Linked DNA regions of Callithrix jacchus. The protein of the gene in region 1 interacts with the protein of each later gene in a pairwise test. Links are inferred from orthologs where the notes say so. Each region holds a gene or a part of one and is shown in the gene's direction. Other genes may lie near its edges. The genes, in order: PTPN9, RTN3, MAL2 and AGTRAP.

Region 1 (5,296 bases):
CAAGGCAGAGGGATCACTTGAGCCCAGGAGTTCAAGACAACCTAGGCAACACAGTGAGATCCCGTCTCTACAAAACATAGAACAAATTAGCTGGGCATGGTGGCACATGCCTGTGAGGTCAAGGCAGCAGTAGGTTTGATTGTGCCACTGCACTCCAGCCTGTGTGACAGAGTGAGATCCTGTCTCCAAAAAAAAAAAAAAAAAAAACAACTGGGGTCGTACAGTATAGGAATTCTGCCTTTTCCAAACAATTAACTGATCCTTCCTTTGGGTCTGTAGTAAAAGAAGCAATTATGAGAAAAGTTGATAGTGGTGGATAGCAGTCTTGGTGGTAGGGATAACCAGGGTGTTAAGAATCTGGAAAAGCTAGAGGTAGCTAGGGGAAGGCAGAAATGACCTTGTTCACTTTTGCTTTTCTCATTTAAGGAGCGGCAGAAACGGCAGGTGACCCACTTCCAGTTCTTGAGCTGGCCAGACTACGGTGTCCCTTCCTCAGCAGCTTCCCTCATTGACTTCTTGAGAGTGGTCAGAAACCAGCAGAGTCTGGCTGTGAGCAACATGGGAGCACGCTCCAAAGGGCAGTGCCCTGAGCCACCCATTGTGGTCCATTGCAGTGCAGGCATTGGCAGGACAGGTAATGTACCTAATGCAGCTCTTGGTGTCTGCAGAGGCAGTCGGGGTGGAGGAGGAATAACAAAGCTCTTAGCCCACATCTGTGATTGGAGAGGGAAGTCTTTTGCTCCCTTGATGGTGAATTGCTGTGAAAAAATCCCTCTTTTAATGTCCTTTTGGTGGACTAAGAGATGGCCAGAATATATATTTCATAAGCCAAGTCCTCTAGGGGTTGATGTTTTATTCACCCCCATCATAACGCTGACCCTGTTACCTTGTTAGCACTGTCACTGCAGAGAGCTCAGCTGGGCTGCTTCCTTCCCATCTAGCCCTCCCTGGAGGAACTCCCCACCCTGTGCTGTGTTCTCCATTCTGGAGCAAGTTAGCAGCTTTTGCCTTAAGGGGATGTACATGGCAGGAAGTGTGGGCCTTTCTAGCTTAAAGGTCCCTTTGGGAGAAAGTTGGGAATAGGTTTGCGTTAGGCCTCTGAGAAACTTATGGACTCTGGAAATTAGGTGTGGGAGTGCTGTCAGTCTGTCTGTCTGGGATTGAAGCAGGAAGTTACCCTGTATCACCCTCCCGTTTCCACTTCTGTTGCCCCAATGTGTGTCCTGAGAGGTAAGAGGCCTTCTGGCCTCCAACACGCCCCATGACCTTCTCCTTGAGTCCTTTCAGGCCTAAGGCCATCTGACCTTCTGCCATGAGGCAGTTTGCCTTTGAATTCATTCATTCAATTCTGCCTGGGTTATTTGATAGAGGGAAGAAGAGATGAGAGGTAAACCAGATGTGATCACTTCCTTCCTTCTTCAGGTACCTTCTGCTCACTGGACATCTGCCTGGCACAGCTGGAGGAGCTTGGCACCCTTAATGTGTTCCAGACGGTGTCACGCATGAGGACCCAGAGGGCCTTCAGCATCCAGACCCCTGAGCAGTACTATTTTTGCTACAAGGCCATCCTGGAGTTCGCAGAGAAGGAGGGCATGGTATCCTCTGGCCAAAACCTTCTGGCCATGGAGGGTCAGTAACTCTTCCACGAACCTCCTACCTGCTGGCCAGCCTTCCTTAAACTACCCTGGACACCGCTGAGCCTATAGGTTGCCATCAGTTACGCTGAAGCCATGGATCAACTTCTTTCTCGTGTCTCCCGGCACATGTGCACGCAAGGCAGCCTTTCCCTTTGGCTAGATAAATGTGGTGAAGTTGCCACTAGAAAGGGCCAGCAGCAATGTGTTCTTAATTCCTAGCACCTGCTATCAAACTGTGCCTTATTAAAACCAAATTGTGGCTATTGATTTTTTCCAGGGTCCCCGAGGTAAGTGGGGAAGGAACATCCCTCCCCCTTTCTCCCACCATTCTCTTTCTGGAGGTCTCCTGTCTCCCACTCCTTCCGTTTGCTAGGATTTTATGGGGAGGTTTGATGAGCATTTGCCTTTCTCCCCAGAGAGCTTGACCAAGTTACATATTCTAGAGATCGTCCTGAGTGCCAAGCACGTTTATAAGTAGGGCGTGTATTCCAGTCCTTTCTGTCATTCTGTGTGTGTGTGTGTGTGTGTGTGTGTGTGTGTATGCACTTAAGTGTATGGGTCCATATGTATGTGTGTATATAATATATATTGTATGTGATAATATCGTATTCTATAAATATATATACACACAGATACTCCTTTGTAGAAGTTCCTGGGGCTTTGTGTTGCAGTTCAGGACTCCTTGCTTCTTGGACCCTACTATTTATCCTGGACTACTTGAGTTGGTGGTCATGTCTCCTGTTGTCAGGCTACAGAGTGGTGGAAGAGGACACACACACATCTCCTCTGTGTTCCTGCCACAGGGCCTCATCCTTAAGTAATTACTTAATCCCCCTCCAGTTGCTACCTGTTGGAGCCAAGAATATTAGTTTGTGGTGACACTGGGTTAACTCTGCATGCATTTTCCTTATCTGATGATTTTTCTCTGCTTATTTGGCCAATTTGGGGAACAGACCTCTACTGTGATTCCATACTCTCTCTTTGCTTTCACTATCCCAGGGATGGGAGGCGGAGGGTAGAGATGAACTCAGAGCAGCCGGAGCCAAAAGCAATCGGTACGAAGTCTTAGAAGGAAGGAGGGGAGCCCAAGTGTGCGAGAGAAAAATCTACTAAGAAAATACCTCCCTGGAAGGATTAGCTGGGGCCCTTTTTTTTTTTTTTTTTTGGCTGGATGGTTCCTTTATGCAGCTTGGCCCTGTCTACTGAGATGCCCGCTAGTCTGCTAGACCCTCAAACTGGGTGGGTTTTGTGTCAATAAAAAGCTTTACCCCCTGGCTGGGTGAGGAGGTCCCCTGCAATCACTGTTTGTCCCCTACCTACCCAACCTGATCCCTGCCTGCTCCCAGCCCACTCATCCTTATGTGCTAGGGATGATTAAGAGTCCCCAGTACTCTACATTCCCAAGAAAATCACAGGAATTCCTAAACCTTCCCCTGTCACAGAAGATGAGGTTGGCAACTGATCAGACCTCAATAATTTTATATTGTAATAAGCTCTTTGAATGTGTATATTCTTATTTTTTACAATCATTTCATTTTGTATTTAATATCAATGGACTGAGTCAGATTCAGAAAATAATTGTAATGTTCATATTCAATATCTTACAGTGATACAGTTTTGTATTTACATATAAATATACCGACATGATCGAAACCCTTTTAGCTTCATCAATTTAGCAGCCTGGGACTGGGAACTTGAGGGAGGGGGTCCAAGAACTGGTCTGGGAGGGATGAGGGAGGCAGGGAGGGACCCAAGTCTTCAGTATCTGAGACTCTGAGTTCTGACTCTTTGAGTTCACCTTGTCTGTAGTCCACAGCCCTATCTCTGGACAGAGGGACCAGCACCAGTTCAGTGCTTGAGATAGACTAAGCACTGTGCTAGGTGCTTTTGCCCCAGTGCCTCATTCACACCTCACAACAGTTCAGTGAGATATTATCCTCTCTCCCTTCTCCTGTGCATCCCTTTCTCATTTCTATATAGATGAGGAAGGTGAGGTCCAGAGGGTTACAGTGATTTGCTCTAAAATGAACTCAAGGTAGTCTGCTTACAAAGCCTGTGGTCTCTTCACTGCGTTGTCTTTGGAGAACAGAGATTTGTTTAGCTCTCCTTTCAGAGTATAAATAGTTCTTAAATTCCAGGTAGTTGTTGTTGAGCTCATGCTTCATGTAGTAAACTGGAAGGGTGACAGGGTTGGTAACTGACTGTCCTAACTGGGACCTCCTGATGTAGGGTCCTCATGTCTGCAGAGTACCAAAGTGGTCATCATTCTCTCCAGGAAACTCCATATATCTGGGTACACTGTCTTTGTGAGAAGATCTTGAGTCATTTGCATTTCTCTCTGCAAAAGAATGGAACTGGAAGCTTTGTCCATGGAAGACCACTCCCCATATCATCCCTGTTGGCTGGGGAAGGGGCAGTTGTGGCTGGGAAATACTGGGGTGTTCTGAATAATAGTCACAGCAGACAGTTTACTGGATGCTCACTCTATTCTAGGCACTGTTCAGAGTAATTTCTAGGTATCGTCTCATTCACCTTCAACAACCTTTTGAGGTAGGTATTCATAGAAAAAAACTGAGACACAGGAATATTAATTTGCTACAGCCAGGATCCATCTGACTCCAAAGTACCTTCTTTGAACTCTTACACTAGACTTCCTCTAATGATCCATCTTCTGATCTGCCAATAAATTTTTCTTGAGTTTCTTACCATAATTGGGAGCTCAAGGGTAGAACAGAAGATTAATCTAGTTCTTTTTCCAGATAAGCCTCCATTCTCTTGGGAGTACACAAACATAAGAAGTGAACAGATTCTTGGAAATTTGAGAGACCAGAGAGGTTAGGGGTTTGATGGAATATGTAAGAAGTGGGGTTTATGATAAAAGGCCTGGCAGAAGTAACTTTAAATTGTCATTTATTTGAAGAGGTTGTAACCCAACTGCCCTGTGAATTTAAGGTTATGCATGAGTTCCTCATTGCATATCTGAAAGATCTGTGAGGTGATCAAGTGATCTCCATAAAATGCCAATTCCTAGGTCCACCCAGTAGGTGGTTAGTGAGTGACAGGATGATCCAGGTTTGGGAACCACAAATTTAGTTCATGTTTCTGACTCTGTAGAGGTAGCAAATTGATGTCTCCCGAATTTTCAGTAAAACTCAGAAACGGTTCAATACGTCTCCTTCCACTGCTGTTGTTTGTAGCTTTTACCACTGCAATCCTACCTGTGTTAGGGGTTACAGGAGGAGGTAAAGGAAAAGGAAGGCAAATAGGGAACCCAGAATATGTCAAGTCAGAATATGACAAGTCAGGGTTCTCATACAGGAGACATAGTGACAAAGCAAGAAACAATGTTTAGGAAAGAAGAAAGCACTGAAGGCCCAGGGTGGTGGCTCAGACCTGTCATCCCAGCACTTTGGGAGGCCGAGGCAAGCAGATTACAAGGTCAGGAGTTCCAGACCAGCCTGGCCAACATGATGAAACCCCATCTCTATTAAAAATACAAAAATTAGCCAGGTATGGTGGTGGTCACCTGTAATCCCAGCTGCTTGGGAGGCTGAGGCAGGAGAATTGCTTGAACCTGGGAGGCAGAGGCTGCAGTGAGCCGAGATTACACCATTGCATTCCAGCCTGGGTGACAGACCAAGACTCCGTCTCAGAAAAAA
Region 2 (5,820 bases), on another chromosome or scaffold:
ATAGCTTGAACCCAGGAGACAGAGGCTTCAGTGAACTGAGATTGTACCACCACACTCCAGCCTGGGCAACAGAACGAGACTGTGTCTCCAAAAGAGAAAACACAAACCATATAAGCTGAACTTCCCTGTGATGTGGAGTCAGTTTGACGCACCTCAGAGTTGTTTGAAGAGAGAGGTTCCCAAACAGTTTTATCATAACCTTAGTTCCCTGAATATTTTCTGGTAGAAATACTGACTAGTAAGTTCAGTAACAATGCATGGCTCAGACTGTGGAATATTTCTGATTTAAATGTAATCTATAGTACTTTACACTTCAGGCTTTTGAACTTTTTAACCTGCAATGCTGGGCTTCATTTCTATTATGCCCTAATCTAGTCATGCAGAATATTCATTCTATAGAATGGTAGATGCAAACCATGTTTACTAAATTAGAACTACATATGAGTTAAAGTTTACTTCAAGTGTTTTGTTCTGGTAATATAGCTTTGCCACCAAGGTTTAACCGTTTTTCTTCAATGTACAAAGACTTTTTGTTTTACTAACCAGATTACAGTTATACTATTTCTAAAGTTCAACTCTTATTACATCAAATTTCAGTGATGTGTTGAAGTAGGGGAACTTCATATGGCATTTCAAAACATTTTTATAATAGCAGAATTTGATTTATTGTAAAATATTTTTGTCTTTAATAATTTGGAATAAAGTCATAATTTTGCTTTTATCTGATATTTGGGTGTTTACATGAAAAAGGGAACATAAGCTGAATAAAAGTAATCCCAAAAGAATTTATCTGTGACATTTTCCCAGTTACTCATTCATGCTCAAGACATTGCTGTCCTGAGCCTACTTAGGTCTCAGCTGACCAAGCAAAATCTTTGATTCACTTATTTGGGGCTATTTAAGACCCACTTTGTTCCAGCTGCAGATACAAGAGTATGCAAGAAAGACAACATCCAGGGCTGGGCGAGGTGGCTCGTGCCTATAATCCCAGCACTTTAGGAGGCCAAGTTGGTCAGATTGCTTGAGCCCAGTAGTTTGAGACCAGCCTGGCAACACAGCAAGACCCCATGTTTGCAGAAAGTTTAAAAATTAGCCAGGTGTGGTGGCAAGTGCCTGTGGTCCCTGCTACTTGGTAGGCTGAGGTGGGAGGAGAGCTTGAAGCCAGGAGGTCAAGGCTGTTCACGATTGCACCATTTACACTCCAGTCTGGGGGACAGAGGAAGACCCTGTCTCAAAAACAAACAGATAAATAAAGAAAATAAGAAAGCACCAGCCCTTGGGATGTTTGTTTTTATCCTTTTCCCTAATAACTTGTTAGAGTGGGAAGTTAGGAAACAGTGTGGTAGATTGATGGCTACTGTGGTATTTGGTATTAATTACTGATAAGACTTAATGTATTACTTTGAAAAGGATATTTTCTATTTTAAAAGTAATTCTGGAGTTAACTGGTTTTTTTTTTGTTTGTTCGTTTGTTTTTTGAGTTGGGGTTTTGCTCTTGTTACCCAGGCTGGAGTGCAATGGCGTGGCCTCCTGGGTTCAAGTGATTCTCCTGCCTTAGCCTCCTGAGTAGCTGGGATTACAGGCGCCCACCACCACACCCAGCTAATTTTTTGTATATTTAGTAGAGACGGGGTTTCAGCATTTTGGTCAGGCTGGTCTTGAACTCCTGACCTCAGGTGAGCCACTGTGCCCAGCCGAGTTAACTCTGTCTTAACCGAAGTGTCAATTTGCATGGTACAATATTGATTTAAATGACAAGTTGGTACAAGAGATTTTGGAGGGGCTAGGTGGGCGTGGTGGCTCATGCCTGTAAACCCAACACTTTGGGAGGCTGAGTGGGGTGGATCACTTAAGATTGGGAGTTCAAGACCAGCCTGACCAAAATGCTGAAACCCCATGTCTACTAAAAATACAAAAAAGTAGCCAGGCATGGTGGCAGGCGCTTGTAATCCCAGCTACTCAGGAGACTGAGGCAGGAGAATCCCTTGAACCTGGGAGGTGGAGGTTGCAGTGAGCCTATATTGCGCCATTGCACTCCAGCCTGGCCGACAAGAACAAGACTCCATGTAAAAAAAAGAGAGAGAGATTTTGAAGTAGGTCAACCTTTTTCAGTACCCTTTAGTTTAGAACATCACGGCTATTTATTTATACATGGGACAAATTCTTCCTGTGGATAGAATTCAATAATTCTTGTCTCATTTCAGGCTCAGGAAGCATCTGTTGTATCTCCTAAAAATCAAAAAGAAATCTGGCCACTTATTTTTTTCCTTCTCAGATTGTGAGACTGTAACATTGGATTTATAGAAGCAGTGTGTGCTCTGAATTGTTCAGTTTACAGATTGAAGTCTATCAGTGCATCATAGTGTCAAGTTACTTGTTTTGTATGGATTATTTTGCTTTGGTTGATTAGCTCTACCAGAATAATAAAAACCTCCCTAGATTTCTCAATTTTATCGCCCTTCGTTATGCTTTCTCTTTACAGTGGAAAAGTAGACCAAAAAGTATTTGTCATGAAAATTTTTTGTCATTTGCAGTTCCCAGCATGAAATGGCTTTTCTGTTTTGCTGTTGGCAGTTTTATGCATGTCCTGTAGGATGACTTGATTGTTTTGTTACGTATTTATGTGTGTATATATACATCCTGTGTGTGTATATACATATTTATGTAATTTTAAAATTAAAAAGCATGCTGCTTGGCTTGGCTAGCTAATGTGTAATTGTACCTGGTAAACAATTTTTTTCTTTGAAATTCTGATCATAGAGGTATTGAGCTCTCTTTGCTCCAGTGAGCCATCTTCAGAAATTATGACTTCTTCCTTTCTTTTATCTTCTGAAATACATAATACTGGCCTTACAATACTACATGGAGAAAAAAGCAAAGTGTTAGGGAGCCAGCCTATTTTAGCCAATGAAGGAAAAGACCACTTGGATCTAAAAGATACGAAAAAAATGGAAAAGCCCCAGGGGACCAGCAACAACGTATCAGACTCTTCAGTTTCTCTTGCAGCAGGAGTTCATTATGACCGTCCTTCTATTCCAGCCAGTTTCCCAGAGCATCCTGCTTTTCTCTCAAAGAAAATTGGTCTAGTGGAAGAGCAAATAGATAAAGAGACCAAGAACCCAAATGAGGTATCAAGTAGGGAAGCTAAAACTGCATTGGATGCTGATGACAGATTCACTTTGCTAACAGCCCAGAAACCACCTACTGAGTACTCTAAGGTAGAAGGCATTTATACATATTCTTTGTCCCCATCCAAAGTTTCAGGAGATGGTGTTATTGAAAAGGATTCCCCTGAATCACCATTTGAAGTAATTATTGACAAAGCAGCATTTGATAAAGAATTTAAAGACTCATATAAGGAGAGCACAGATGATTTTGGTAGCTGCTCTATGCACACTGATAGAGAATCATCCGAAGACATTTCAGAGACTAATGACAAGCTTTTTCCACTGAGAAATAAAGAGGCAGGACGTTACCCAATGTCTGCATTGCTCAGTAGACAGTTTTCACAGACAAATGCAGCACTGGAAGAGGTGTCTAGATGTGTGAATGATATGCATAACTTCACTAATGAAATACTGACTTGGGATTTGGTTCCCCAAGTGAAACAACAGACCGATAAATCCTGTGACTGCATCACAAAAACTACAGGACTTGTCATGAGTGAATATAATTCAGAAATTCCAGTTGTAAATCTTAAAACTAACACTCATCAGAAAATTCCTGTATGTTCTGTTAATGGGAGCACTCCCGTCACTAAATCAACAGGTGATTGGGCAGAAGCATCTCTCCCACAAGAAAATGCTATCACTGGAAAACCTATAGCAGATCCTCTCAGTTCCGCAAAAGAATTCAGTATCAGAGGTGTACAAGGCAATACGCAGAAACAGGATGACATACTTGCAGAATTACCCGGGACTACACCTGAGAAATGTGACTCTTTGGGTTCTGGAGTGGCCACAGTGAAAATGGTTTTATCTGATGACCACCTGAAAGATGAAATGAACTGGCAGAGCTCTGCATTGGGAGAAATCACAGAGGCCGATAGTTCCGGTGAGTCTGATGACACTGTAATAGAGGACATCACAGCAGATTCATCATTTGAAAATAACAAAATTCAGGCTGAAAAACCTGTTTCCATTCGAAGTGCTATTGTAAAAACAGGTGAAAGAGAAATCAAAGAGACTCCCAGTTGTAAGAGAGAAGAAGAAACATCTAAAAACTTTGAGGAGTTGGTCAGTGCTTCTGAACTACATCAAGATTGGCCTGATACTCTTGAAAGGAGTCCAGCTGGTGAGGCAGCATGTTCAAAAGTACCCAATATGAATATCTCTGTAGATGTGAAGCAGTCAGATAAAGTGAGTGAAGTTGTGCCTGAAAAGCCTATTACTACTCAGAACCCCAAACTTCCTTCAGTGTCTCCAGATGTTTCTAATGAGACAGAATTCTCATTAAATATGACAACATCTGCCTATTTAGAGTCATTAGATGGGAAAAATGTTAAACATATAGATGATTCCTCCCCAGAGGACCTAGTAGCAGCCTTTACAGAAACCAGAGAGAAAGGAATAGTAGCTAGTGAAGGAAATGCCTTTAAGGCAGGATCAGAGAAGACCACAGACTTTAAAACAGCTCTTCCTGTAGAAAAAGTCTTACGTGAAAATGAGCCTGGTGGTTCTGAAATTAAAGACATTGGAAGCAAATACAGTGAACAAAGCAAAGAAACAAATGGAAGTGAACCTCTAGGTGTTTTCCCCACCCAAGGTACTCCAGTAGCATCCCTTGACTTAGAACAAGAACAGCTCACAATCAAGGCTCTTAAAGAATTAGGTGAAAGACAGGTTGAGAAGTCAGCTTCTGTACAGCATGACACAGAATTGCCTTCTGAAGAAGTGCTGAAACAAACTTTCACATTCGCTCCAGAATCTTGGCCACAGAGATCATGTGACATCCTAGAACATAATGTCAAGAATGGATCTGATCTTGGGATTTCCCAAAAGCCCACTGCTATCAGAGAAACCACTAGGGTAGATGCTGTTTCCAGCCTTAGCAAGACTGAATTAGTAAAAAAGCATGTCCTAGCAAGACTTCTGACAGACTTCTCAGGTAACTATTCACATCAGAATACTGCATGTGGTTAATTCTGTGATTGATTATTTATCAGCATGCCATTTATGTTAGAGGCCGATTTATACCTACAGATTATGGCTAGAATATAATATACTGTATGATGGGAAAGGCAGATTCTTCTTCTCTCTCTCTTTTTTTTTAATAATGATTGTTTGATTTGGTTTCCTTAATACCAGTATTTCCCAAAGCAGTAGACCACTTTGTAAAATTAATCTTCCCCTAAAATTTTTTTCTATGCTCCAGTTATATTTCAAGGTATGTCTTTTCTTATAGGTTGGCCCTAGGGTGATATTAGGTGAGAACCTAATATCATCAGGTTCTTACTTATTTACAAAGCTTATTTCTAAATCTTTATAACAGTCACACTTCTTAGCACTTGGGTTTATTGATATGGACATTGTGAAATCTTAGCAATCAAAGATAAAGGAATTCCTGCTGGGAAAGATAGTAAATGAAACTTTTAATTAATGTGATCATATACTACAGAGATTTTATGCTCTGAAAGTAGGTAACCAGTATTGTAGTACTATTTTATGAGTAATACTTAGGAAAACTCGTACTTTCTTCTACTTTGTATCTTACTTAATATTCTTCAGGCCAAAACTCATTGTTAGATGGTACCAGAAACCCCTTCTCTTGTCTTCTATTTCAAGTGATCACTTTTATAGCAAGTGGCTTTCAGTTAAATTA
Region 3 (5,550 bases), on another chromosome or scaffold:
TGGACAACATGATGAAACCCCGTCTCTACTAAAAATACAAAAAAAAAAAAAAAAATTAACTGGGCATAGTGGTGCACGCCTGTAATCCCAGCTACTCAGGAGGCTGATGCAGGAGAATTGCCTGAACCCAGGAGGCGGAAGTTGCAGTGAGCTGAGACCGCGCCATTGCACTCCAGCCTGGGTAACAAGAGCAAAACTCCATCTCAAAAAAATAAAATAAAATAAAAAAGAGTAGCATTCTTGACCTATGAAATGCTTCCTAGAGACCAAAATGAGGCCAATGTGGCCAACAGGAAATGGTGTGTAATGGTAAAGAGGTCAAGGGATCAGATCACACCAAGAGTTGCCAGTCCTGTCACTGAATCGCTTTATTACATAATCAGCTGAATCTGAGGATTCACCTCAGTAAATTAAATGAGTGTTAAGTGATCTCAAATTTCCTCCTAATTTTTCTAAGATCCAGCTTCATTTCATTTAGCCATTAAAAGTGGTGACATTTGGATTTGGAGTTGAACCTTCGTCAGCTAGTATTTGTTGAATAACCGCATGTATTTAGCATCTCTCCTATAGATTAGACATGTGGCCAGTATGTAACACTTTTCTTAAATCTTAAGGCATTTGTGAATCAGTTTACAAATGAGAGTTATTTAATAGAAAGCACACCTTTGTAGTTTTTAACCCATGGTTGGTTAAATTTGTCCTAGCAGAGTATTTTAGATATGAGAACAATTCCTGTAAACAGTATCATTTGCTGTATGGCATTTACAAAGGCAGTACAATGCTCTCCTTTGTAATATTGCTATGCCACTAATAGAAATCAATAATAGGTTTGATAGGAAAGAAAGTGGACTTCAAAGGGAACCCTTGCACACTGTTGGTAGGAACGTAAATTAGTACAGTCATTATGGAGAACGGTGTGGAAGTTCCTCAAAAAGTTAAAAATAGAACTACCATATGATCTAGCAATCCCACACCCGGGTATATATCTGAAGGAAATAAAATCAGTGAGATTTCTACATTCTCATATTCATTACAGCATTATTGATAACAGCCAAGATACAAATTCAAACCTGAGGATCTATCTGCAGATGAATGGATAAAGAAAATCCAGTATATATTTTGCAATACTAATTCAGCCTTTAAAAAGAAGGAAATCCTGTCATTTGCAATATACATGAACCTTATGTTATGTAAAGTAAGCCAGGCACAGAAAGACCACATGATCTTAAGCTGAATTTACAGAAGTAGACAGTAGAATGGTGATTCCCAAGGGATGAGCTGATGGGGGACTGTGGAAAATGTTGGTCAAAGGATACAAATTTCAGTTAGGAGAAATAAGTTCAAGAGATCTATTGTGTAGCATGATGACTATAGTTAGTAACAGTGTATTATATTCTTGAAAAATGCTAAAAGAATATATTTTAAATGTTCTCACCACAAAAAAAAGAATTATGGGAAGATATATGTATATGCTTTATTTAGCCATCCCACAATGTATAAATATTTCAAAACATGTATACAATAAATATGATTTTTGTCAAGTAAAATAATTTAAAAAAAATAAACTGAACTTTGGGACCAGACACACTACAGGTTTTTCTCCCTCCTAAAATTAATATTTACATGGCTTTAAACAGTCATTTAACTGAAAAGAAATTATTTATTTAATGGAGATAATTAATGGTGGTTATAAGGTTGAGCAATAATGCACATAAGGTATCTGATATGTGGGAACTGTTACAAACAGTAATGTGTTGATACATTAATTCAGGTAAGACCACATGAACTATAACAGTGTTAATGCTTCGCTGAATGTCAGCAACAAAGAAGCCTAACAAATGAGGTCTTATACTTCTTGTGGAAGTATATAACATGTTAGTTTTTAATGAAACAAACATGGATATATGTTATTGAATTATATATTTAATTAGTCTTCTGTATTTTCAATGGAAAATCTCTAATGATAATAACTGGTCAAAAATAGTTTATATAATTTATATGAATACATATAATAATGTTATTTAAATGCTACTTTACTTGAATTTTAAAGACAGCATATGTATGGCTTTTTTATATTATCCTAATTAACATTGATCTCTATGGGCATCTTAATCCAAATTAAAATATTATATAATTATAAAATTCAGTCTATGGAAAGGTTTGCCAATTTACCAATGTGCCAGTTAAAATGGGTTGATTTTCACTTGGATTCTAATAGTTGCTATAGAAACGTCAGGCCAAGATACACAGAGAAGGTAATTAAGATGGTTTAATTAAATGTTTTGATCTTGCTAAACCTAGCCTTCATTTGAAATACAGAATGGAAAATGTCTTATTAATTGCAGATGTCTTTTCTCTCCTCTTTTAGGATTTTGCCTACCATTTCACAGTGTTTGTCTTCTATTTTGGAGCCTTTTTATTGGAAGCAGCAGCCACATCCCTGCACGATTTGCATTGCAATACAACCATGACCCTGCAGCCGCTCCTGAGTGATAACCAGTATAACATAAATGTAGCAGCCACAGTAAGTACTCAATGAGTACTGTTCACCAGCACTTCCGCTCCACTGTCAAGGCCTCCAAGAAACTCTTCAGGCAACAGTACTCTTTAATACTAGCCGTTAATGTTAAATATATCATAGCTGTTATCTGTACAGTAACCCTGTGAGCAAAGTGCCATGATCACTTTGCTCACAGGGTTGCAGGTGATTAAACTGAAGCATAAAGAGGTTGATGTTCACATAAGACCACAGCAAGCCACCGTCTCTCATTAAGAATTGGCTAGGCCTGGTGTGTTGTGCCTGTAGTGCCACCTGTTTGGGAGGCTAAGGTGAGAAAATCTCCTGAGCCCAAGGAGGCGGAGGTTGCAGTGAGCTGAGACCACACCACTGCACTCCAGTCTGAGTGACAGACCAAGACTCGGTCGAGGGATGGGGGGGAATGGGGAGTAACCAGTATGACTAAGGAACTGTATTTTTAATATTATTTTAATAATTTTAACCACATGTGACTAGTGGCTATCATATTAGACAATAAAGGTCTGGAGTCTGAGTTTTGAGGGGTCTGCAAAAAGAACTGTGTTTTTGCTTCTTATAACTTTCAGACATGGTAAGGGATATTTCCCAGTTTGGTTCTTTAGTATTCAATAGCTGTTTGCACGTTAATTTTATTCAATGAATAGATACTGTGGGCCTACCATATATCAAGTAATTTTGCTGGCTGTTGAGGATGGGGTGGATAAGCTGCAGTTGTTGCCATTCAGGGAAGTGCAGGTGAGGAAGGGAGGCAACTATGCCAGCCATTGCAGTAGATGGTAGGCAGATGAAATGCATTCCTTGGGGCATTTATAAATTTTTAAATCATCTTTAATTCACATACTGGAGTGAATTTGTCATTTTGTATTGTATAGATAATAATTTGAAGAACTAATGTATTATTTTTGTTGTTAAAGATCACTTTTAAGATGCTAGAAGTCCAAATTTTCTGAAATAGTGTGATATTTAATATAAATATATGGCAAATTAGTGACCCTAATGTTTTATTATGTTTCCCAGGTAGCCTGTAAATAACCCAGTACTCCCCATATAGGCATTGAAATCTGTCTGGAGCAGCACTGTCTAGTAGAACTTTCTTTTTTTGTAAGTGCTGTCCAATATGTTGGCCACTAGGCTCATGTGGCTGTTGAGCAATTGAAAAGTAAGCCAAAGAGTCATGGCTCATGCCTGTGATCCCAGCACTTTGGTAGACCGAGGTGGAAGGGGACTGCTTGAGGCCAGGATTTCTGGAGCAGCCTGGTCAACATAGCAAGACCCTGTCTCTCAAAGTGGGGAAAAAAAAGAATCAAGAATTGGCCAGGCCTGGTGGCTTGTGCCTGCAGTGCTACCTGTTTGGGAGGCTGAGGTAAGAAAATCTCTTTAGCGCAGGAGGCGGAGGTTGTAGTGAGCCGGGAGCACACCTCTGCACACCAGCATGATGAAGGAACTGAAGTTTTAGTATTATTTTAACCACATGTGGCTAGTGGCTATCAGACAATAAATACCATTCTAGAGTCTGAATTTTGAGGTGTAGAAGACAAATGATTTCAAGACCCATTATAAGTTTCCCAAGTCTCTGATAGGATTTGTCAAAATTTATTGAGTGCCTACAATGAATTAGGCTGAAGGTGGGATTACAACAAAGAGTCATGGTTTTAGCTTTGAAATGTCCCATCCATGGGACATCAGATTGGGAGGCAAATTCCTTTTCCCTAATACATGTATCAAAAGCTATTGCTGTCATTTAGAAAACAATGTCTAGATTAGAAATTGTCAGAGAATCAATCAGCAGAAGAAGGGTGGAAAGAATAGCAGAAAAGCAATTAAACTGTGAAAATGATCTATAGGTGAATCCAGTATTGCTTCCCAGAGCTATAGTTTCCTCGTTAAGAACCCTTGTGCTAAACCATAATATTTATCATGTTGAACTGCTTTTGCTTTGTCTTTTAGTCTTCTATGGATCATAAACCCCAAAAGGGTGAGGACATTATCTACTCTTTGCTTATATGTACCAAATGTAGTAATATACACACAGTTGGTGTTGAAGAAATTCTCATTAAATTCTAAGAACACAGTAGAGTGCACATTTGTGCATAGGACTGTCTCCCATACGAGAGAAAGCCAACCTGATCATTCATTTCCACTTGTCTTTGTTGACTTTTAAAGTTACTTTCCATTGTCATGGAAATTATTTGATGCATCCTCAGGTTCCGAGGGTTGCTGGTTTTCTTGGCTGTGAAACCACTACATGTATAGAACTTCATGATGAATTTTTAAATATGGTGCCTGGGGGTTCACAGATACTTAATAAGTGAGCCCAGCATGTGAACAAACGTTCAATGTAAAGTTATCTATAAATGAGAAAATTAATAGGGCTAAAATATTTAAAGGAATTGGGGGGTAATTGTATGAGGGAATAAAACAGTTGTACAAGTCATCAAAAAAAATCAATATAAAATATTTTCTAAGTGTCTTTAGGAGATTGTTCAATCTTCATATGGCTGTTCTTTAGGACACTGTGTTTAAATCAGTGTTGTAAATCTGATGTGAATTTTTGTTTCTTTTTTCTTAGATTTTTGCCTTTATGACGACAGCTTGTTATGGTTGCAGTTTGGGTCTGGCTTTACGAAGATGGAGACCGTAACACTCCTTAGAAACTGGCAGTCGTGTGTTAGTTTCATTTGTCTACTTTATATTTCTGATTAATTTGGTTACCATTTTGTCCAGATGTAAAAACATTCCAAAAGTAGTTTGCTTAGGAGGGAGAGACTCTAAGCTCAAGTTTTGGTTTATTTCATGGATGGAATGTTAATTTTCTTATGAAGTTAAAAAAAAATGGCCTTTTATATTTCTCCCCTTCTTCCCTTCCTTTTTTCTTTTCTGAAAGTTTCCTTTTATGTCCATAAAATACAAACATATGGTTCATAAAAAATTAGTATACCTTTTGTCTGGTTGCTGAGTCACCTGAACCTTAATTTTAACTTTCTAAAAACACATTTCAATGTTCCCACTGACCT
Region 4 (5,820 bases), on another chromosome or scaffold:
GAGTTTCACCACATTGGCCAGGATAGTCTTGATCTCTTGACCTCGTGATCCATCCGCCTCGGCCTCCCAAAGTGCTGGGATTACAGGCCTGAGCCACCGCACCCAGGCCTACCATCTCTTTTATCTGTTGAGCTTCTGGAGAGAGTTCTCTGCCAAACCAAGACTGGAAGCCACTGAGCTCACGTCTGCACCCTGCAAACCTGGAAGTGCCCAGCCTGACAGCTGTTAGTAACGTGAACAGTAACCATCGTGGTTCACGACCTTGAGAAGCAGGGCAAAAATACAGATTTCTTAGTCACGCTCCCCAAGATTCTGAGTTGGCGATTTTGGGTTGAAACCCAAGCACCTGCTTTCTTTTTATTTATTTATCTTTTTTTTTTCTTTTTTTTGAGACGGAGTCTGGCTCTGTTGCCCAGGCTGGAGTGTAGTGGCACAATCTCGGCTCACTGCAGCCTCTGCCTCCTGGGTTCAAGTGATTCTCCTGCCTGAGCCTACTGAGTAGCTGGGACTACAGGCATGTGCCACCATGCTTAACTAATTTGTGTATTTTTAGTACAGACAGGGTTTCACCATGTTGGCCAGGCTGGTCTGGAACACCTGACCTCAAATGATCCACCCACCTCGGCCTCCCACAGTGGTGGAATTACAGGCATGAGCTACCATGCCTGACAGCACCTGCTTGCTTGCTTTTTTTCTGTTTTTTTTAAATCTTTTCCTACAGTCTAGCATGTGAACCTGCTTTCTTAAAAGCAAAAGATAAGATGGTTTATTCGAAGACCTATTGAATCCATTGACACTAAAAACCTGCCTTGCACATGTCTTCTTCATGCTGCCCTTCAGTGAATGTCATATAAATCTAGGAAGTGGTCGCTGCATGCAGGGGCAGGCAAGTCCCAGTGGGTTTGGTAATAAACGAGGTAGACTCAGTCCTGGTCCTTCTGGGTCTTCTTTGCAGCACAGCAGGGTGACAAGAGCATGGCCTCTCCAGCCAGACTCCAAATTCCAGCCTCACCGCTCAGCAGCTGTGTGAGCTTGGGCAAGTTACTTAACCACTCTGTGCCTCAGTTTCCTCATCTATAATAGGATAACAATACTTCCTGCCTAGGGTTGTTAACATAAATGCACATAAATGAGTTAATTTAAAGCAGTAAGAACCAGCCGGGCACAGTGGCTTACGCCTGTAATCCCAGCACTTTGGGAGGCCGAAGGCGGGTGGATCACGAGGTCAGAAGTTCGAGACCATCCTGGCCAAGATGGTGAAACCCCGTCTCCTATTAAAAATACAACAATTAGCTGGCGTGGAGGTGTACGCCTCTAATCCTCGCTACTCAGGAGGCTGAGGCAGAAGAATCGCTTGAACCCAGGAGGCAGAGCAACGTTGTAGTGAGCCAAGATTTTGCCACTGCACTCCAGCCTGGCTGACAGAGCGAAACTCCGTCAAAAATAAATAAATAATAGTTAGAACCATGCCAGGTACTAGCAAGTGCTCTGTGTTCACTATGATTTTGATTGGATTGACAAGTGAACAAATCAACAATGTCAGTTAGGCAATACCCTAAATGGTAGAATAGGGTGGGCCTTGTGTTAGGAAAGTGACGAGGTCGTACTTAGCATTGGTGGGTGAGGGAAGGAGTCTCAGAGTGAACATTCAAGCTGCTGCTCAATGACAAAAGGGGGGCCAAGTGTCAGAGTAGAGGGCGCCCACTGTACGGGGCTGTGGCTGGGAGGTCAGGGAGGGCGGGGCTGGGCCCGGGGTCCCACGGGCCCCTTAAGCCCTGGTGAAGAGTCTGCATTTTATTCCAAATGGGATGGAAAACTGTTGGAGGATTTTTAGCAGAGGATTGACAGCATCTGACTACACTACCAGTTGCTATTTAGAGAACAGAGTGGCAGTCAGGAGGCTGTCATCTGGCAGGAGACGGAGGTGCTTGGGACCTGCAGGGACACAGCCAGATCCAGGGTCTGGGTGGGAGGCGAGCCCATGGGATTTGCTGGCACATAGCCAGGTGGCCTCAAAGACTAAGGTCTGTTCTGGGAGGAGGCCCTGAGACCCCTGGCACAGGAGGGAGGTGACCTGCGGGTTGGTGGCCACCTGATGGGACTAAGCTGCTTCTTTGACAGGGGCTGCATCGTGTTCTCGGGCTCCTATGCCTGGGCCAACTTCACCATCCTGGCCTTGGGCGTGTGGGCTGTGGCTCAGCGGGACTCCATCGACGCCATAAGCATGGTGAGCCAGGGCGGGGGCCGAAGCACAGGGCGACACACGGCCTGGCTCTGCCTCCCTGTCCCATCCCAATCTTCCTTCTCTTCCTGGGGCCACCACTGCCTGTTGTCTAAAGCCTTTTTCTTCAGCCTCCCGGGTGTCAGCCCATGCCTGTCTTTGGGAGCGAGCATGCTACTCTTCTTGCCTGGCTTAGAGAAGCCCAGGTCTGCCATTATCTCCCCCAGGAAAGCCAAGGGGTGCCCCAGATTGGCTTCTCTGCAAGAGCAATGGAGCATTCCCTATAACCTGCCTCTGGGGCTCTCTTTTAGGGGAGAGGACATGGAGACCCAGCCAAGGGGGCACGCCACTACTTTAGGAAGGAGAGGTGACCCAGGCCGACCGAAACTTCCCACAGGGGAAGCTTCTTAGCACCCACCAAGCCCCGTGGGGCAGCGTGCACCCCCTGCACCGGCTCTTCAAGCCTTGGCCAGGGCTCGGGGTGACTGAGGAGTGAGAAGGGATTTCCTTTTTCTTTTTTTTTTTGTTCTGAGACAGTCTTGCTCTGTCGCCCAGGCTAGATTGCAGTGGTGCGATCTCAGCTCACTACAACCTTTGCCTTCCAGGTTCAGTGATTCTCCTGCCTCAGCCTCCCAAGCAGCTGGGACTACAGGCATGTGCCATCATGTGCGGCTAATTTTTTGGATTTTTAGTAGAGATAGGGTTTCACCTTATTGGCCAGGCTGGTCTCGAACTCCTGACCTCATGATCTACCTGCCTTAGCCTCCCAAAGTGCTGGGATTACAGGCATGAGCCACCGTGCCTGGCCCTGAGAAGGGATTTTCTTCGTGTTGGAGACAGACTGGGTGAACAAGGAACCTTCCTTTATGGAGGTTCTAGAGCCCAGTCTTGTGCCCATCATGGTCTTAGAGGTGATCGAAAATGGGTAGGGAGGGAGGCTCTGTGGAACCGAGACCTGAGCCCCCTGCGTCCCTGCCCCTAGACTGCAGTCTCAGCCAGCCGCTCCCCTGTGAGTCCTGCCTGCTTGCTTGCTCAGTTTTCCAGCAAGCCCCAAGGACACAGTAGGGCATGAAACAGCTTCGCATCTGGTACATGGTGGGGAGCCACGGGACACGGCAGGGCTCTTGTGCTCATCAGTGCCTGTGTCTTGCAGTTTCTGTGTGGCTTGCTGGCCACCATCTTCCTGGACATCGTACACATCAGCATCTTCTATCCGCGGGGAAACCTCACGGACACGGGCCGCTTCGGCGCGGGCATGGCCATCCTCAGCTTGCTGCTCAAGCCGCTCTCCTGCTGCTTCATCTACCACATGTACCGGGAGCGCGGGGGTGAGCTCCTGGTCCACACTGGTGAGGCCACCACCTCTGGCCAGCTCCCCACCACTCCCTTCTCTCCCTTGCCTGGCCCCCAGGCTCTCCCCCAGTGAGCTGGCCTTACCCCATGGGGCCAGCAGGAAGAGCATGGCATGGGCACTCTGTACCAGGCTGGAGGAGTCCAAGCTCCTGGTCTCTGCTGCAGGAGCCCAGGGGTCCCCTGACTGTCCTGGTCCGCTGCGACCTTCTCCTGCTGTGAGGCTAAGGCTAGGCCCTTCTCTCAGCCTAGAGCACAGGCACAGCTGGGGGTACCATTTAGTTCCCAGGGGCAGCCCTGGGCTATCTCCAGCATGAGGGCCACCGGCACCTACAGGTCTCCTCTCTGTTCTCACCGGGCCCCAACACTGGAACCCCATTTCCTGCCACGTGGGGTCTTTCCTCTCCTGCGGCAGAGATTGTGCTAGGTAGCCAAAGGAGAGCCTGCTCTAGCGTAGGCTGTGTGAGCCTCAGCGAAGACGGCCCTGAACTGTGGGCACTCCCCGTACCCACCAATCCCTCCCCACTCGCCCATCCTCACCCTCACCCCGCCCTCTCCCATGCCCTTTCCTGTACCCCTTCTGCTGGTGGCCGAGCTGTTTGCCTGCTCTCTGACACCTCTGTCTCTCCTTTCTCTTTGAGAGGAGTGGAGGGAGGTTGTGGGGTGTGGCCTTCTACCTTTCACTCCTGAGAAGAGAGGCCTCAGGTGGCCTGTGACTGCCACCAGCTGGTCGAGGGTAAGAATGGCCTGGGGCTGCCCCCAGGGAAGGGGTGCCAGAATGTATCTCCCATTGGACAGATGAGGAAACTGAGGCCCACAGCCCTTGGGACGTGCTCAAGGTCTCAGGATGAATGTGCAGAGGAGGGGATGAGAGTGAGGAGTGTGGGGTGTTTGGAGCTACAGTCCTGCCTTGGACTCAGCCCCAGCCTCCAAGGCCATCTGGATACAGTAATGTGGTGTCCTTCTGCCTGAGAGGGGAGCTGGAGAGGAGTGTGTGGGCCCGGGGCTGGTGTCCCTCTGCCCAGGTTCCTGAGCACTTGCTGCCTGAGGAACCACCCCATGGCACAGTGGCCTGGAGCCTGGCTTTGGGCTTGGCTGCCTAGGCGTGGGTCGCAGCATCATCGCTTCGAGCTGTGTGATCTCAGCAAGTCAGTTCATCTCTTTGACCCACTGTTTCCTCATCTGTAAAGTGGGGATGATACCTGCTGCAAGGAGTACGGGAGGATTGAATGAATGATACACGCTAAAAGCTTAGTGCCTGGGGCTGCTGCCTCTGTCTCTGTGGTGGTGTCAGGATGCCTGGCCCCAGGGTGGCAGGGGTAGATCTTGCCTTGGACTCAGCAGAATGTCTTGAGGTCTCCCCATTCACTTTTCTTTCCCATCATGTCCCCTGCCACCCAGGTTTCCTTGGATCTTCTCAGGACCGTAGTGCCTACCAGACGATTGATTCACCAGAGGCACCCGCAGATCCCTTTGCAGTCCCAGAGGGCAGGGGTCAAGATGCCCGAGGGTACTGAAGCCAGCCACGCTGCCTCCAGCCCCACCCCAGGTTCTAGGGATGCTCCTGACCTCTATCTCTGGGACCTAAGATGGAATGTGTCTCCAGCCCACGGGTTACCTGAACCAAGTGCCTTGAGAGACCAGGAGCCCCCATGGGCCACCCAGTACACACACTCCTGTCTCAAACTCCCTGAGGCCTCCCTCCCTTCAGGGCACCCGCTGGTTCCCGGGTTGGAATGAAAATCTTTCTTCACCTCCTACTCCATCAAGGCACCACACAGGCCCCCAGCTGAGTCCTGCATGACTGTGGCAGGCTCAGGCCTTTAAGTCCTGGTGATGTCTGTTTGTTGGGCTTTGGGGGAAGCCCTAGAGCTTCAGGTCTGCTCAGCCCAGGAGCAGTCTGGCATGGGAGTGAGGTCCTGTGCTTCTCACTGCCTGGTCATGTGGTGCCTAGCGATACAGGGCTGGAGGCCAGAGGCATCAGCAACACTGACCCACCACAGCCTCCAGCCTCCCTTTTTGGAGCCACAGCATTAAAGTTTGGGGAGTTCTGTAGATGGGCTGTGTTTTGAGCCACTTTCAGTCTCCTGGCTGGGGTGGGGCCTGGCCTTGTTCCTGGGAAGATTTCTCCTGCCAATTCCCAGGTGGAGCCTGCGCTGGGCCACCCCATTCTGTTGTGGCAGGAGGAAATGGGCATGTTTGTTGGCTGAGCTGGGCTTCTGCCTGACTCTGGCCTAGCAGAGGCCACA

The links.
Region 2: the proteins of PTPN9 (region 1) and RTN3 interact in binary tests that used the Homo sapiens proteins (3 or more experiments, as listed by UniProt). The two-hybrid records come from large-scale screens. The link is inferred for Callithrix jacchus from reciprocal best matches to the Homo sapiens genes PTPN9 and RTN3.
Region 3: the proteins of PTPN9 (region 1) and MAL2 interact in binary tests that used the Homo sapiens proteins (3 or more experiments, as listed by UniProt). The two-hybrid records come from large-scale screens. The link is inferred for Callithrix jacchus from reciprocal best matches to the Homo sapiens genes PTPN9 and MAL2.
Region 4: the proteins of PTPN9 (region 1) and AGTRAP interact in binary tests that used the Homo sapiens proteins (3 or more experiments, as listed by UniProt). The two-hybrid records come from large-scale screens. The link is inferred for Callithrix jacchus from reciprocal best matches to the Homo sapiens genes PTPN9 and AGTRAP.

What each region holds. Positions count from the first base shown.
Region 1 is NC_133509.1:22,389,816-22,395,111, forward strand, and holds the end of PTPN9 (tyrosine-protein phosphatase non-receptor type 9), read left to right. Parts: intron 1-426; coding exon 427-634; intron 635-1,422; coding exon 1,423-1,637; 3' UTR 1,638-3,290; downstream 3,291-5,296. UniProt on the Homo sapiens protein: Protein-tyrosine phosphatase that could participate in the transfer of hydrophobic ligands or in functions of the Golgi apparatus.
Region 2 is NC_133511.1:120,766,836-120,772,655, forward strand, and holds part of RTN3 (reticulon-3), read left to right. Parts: intron 1-2,760; coding exon 2,761-5,106; intron 5,107-5,820. UniProt on the Homo sapiens protein: May be involved in membrane trafficking in the early secretory pathway. Inhibits BACE1 activity and amyloid precursor protein processing. May induce caspase-8 cascade and apoptosis.
Region 3 is NC_133517.1:78,167,630-78,173,179, reverse strand, and holds part of MAL2 (protein MAL2), read left to right. Parts: intron 1-2,368; coding exon 2,369-2,524; intron 2,525-4,483; coding exon 4,484-4,511; intron 4,512-5,105; coding exon 5,106-5,239; 3' UTR 5,240-5,550. UniProt on the Homo sapiens protein: Member of the machinery of polarized transport. Required for the indirect transcytotic route at the step of the egress of the transcytosing cargo from perinuclear endosomes in order for it to travel to the apical surface via a raft-dependent pathway.
Region 4 is NC_133508.1:49,631,494-49,637,313, forward strand, and holds part of AGTRAP (type-1 angiotensin II receptor-associated protein), read left to right. Parts: intron 1-2,121; coding exon 2,122-2,227; intron 2,228-3,374; coding exon 3,375-3,570; intron 3,571-4,972; coding exon 4,973-5,088; 3' UTR 5,089-5,820. UniProt on the Homo sapiens protein: Appears to be a negative regulator of type-1 angiotensin II receptor-mediated signaling by regulating receptor internalization as well as mechanism of receptor desensitization such as phosphorylation.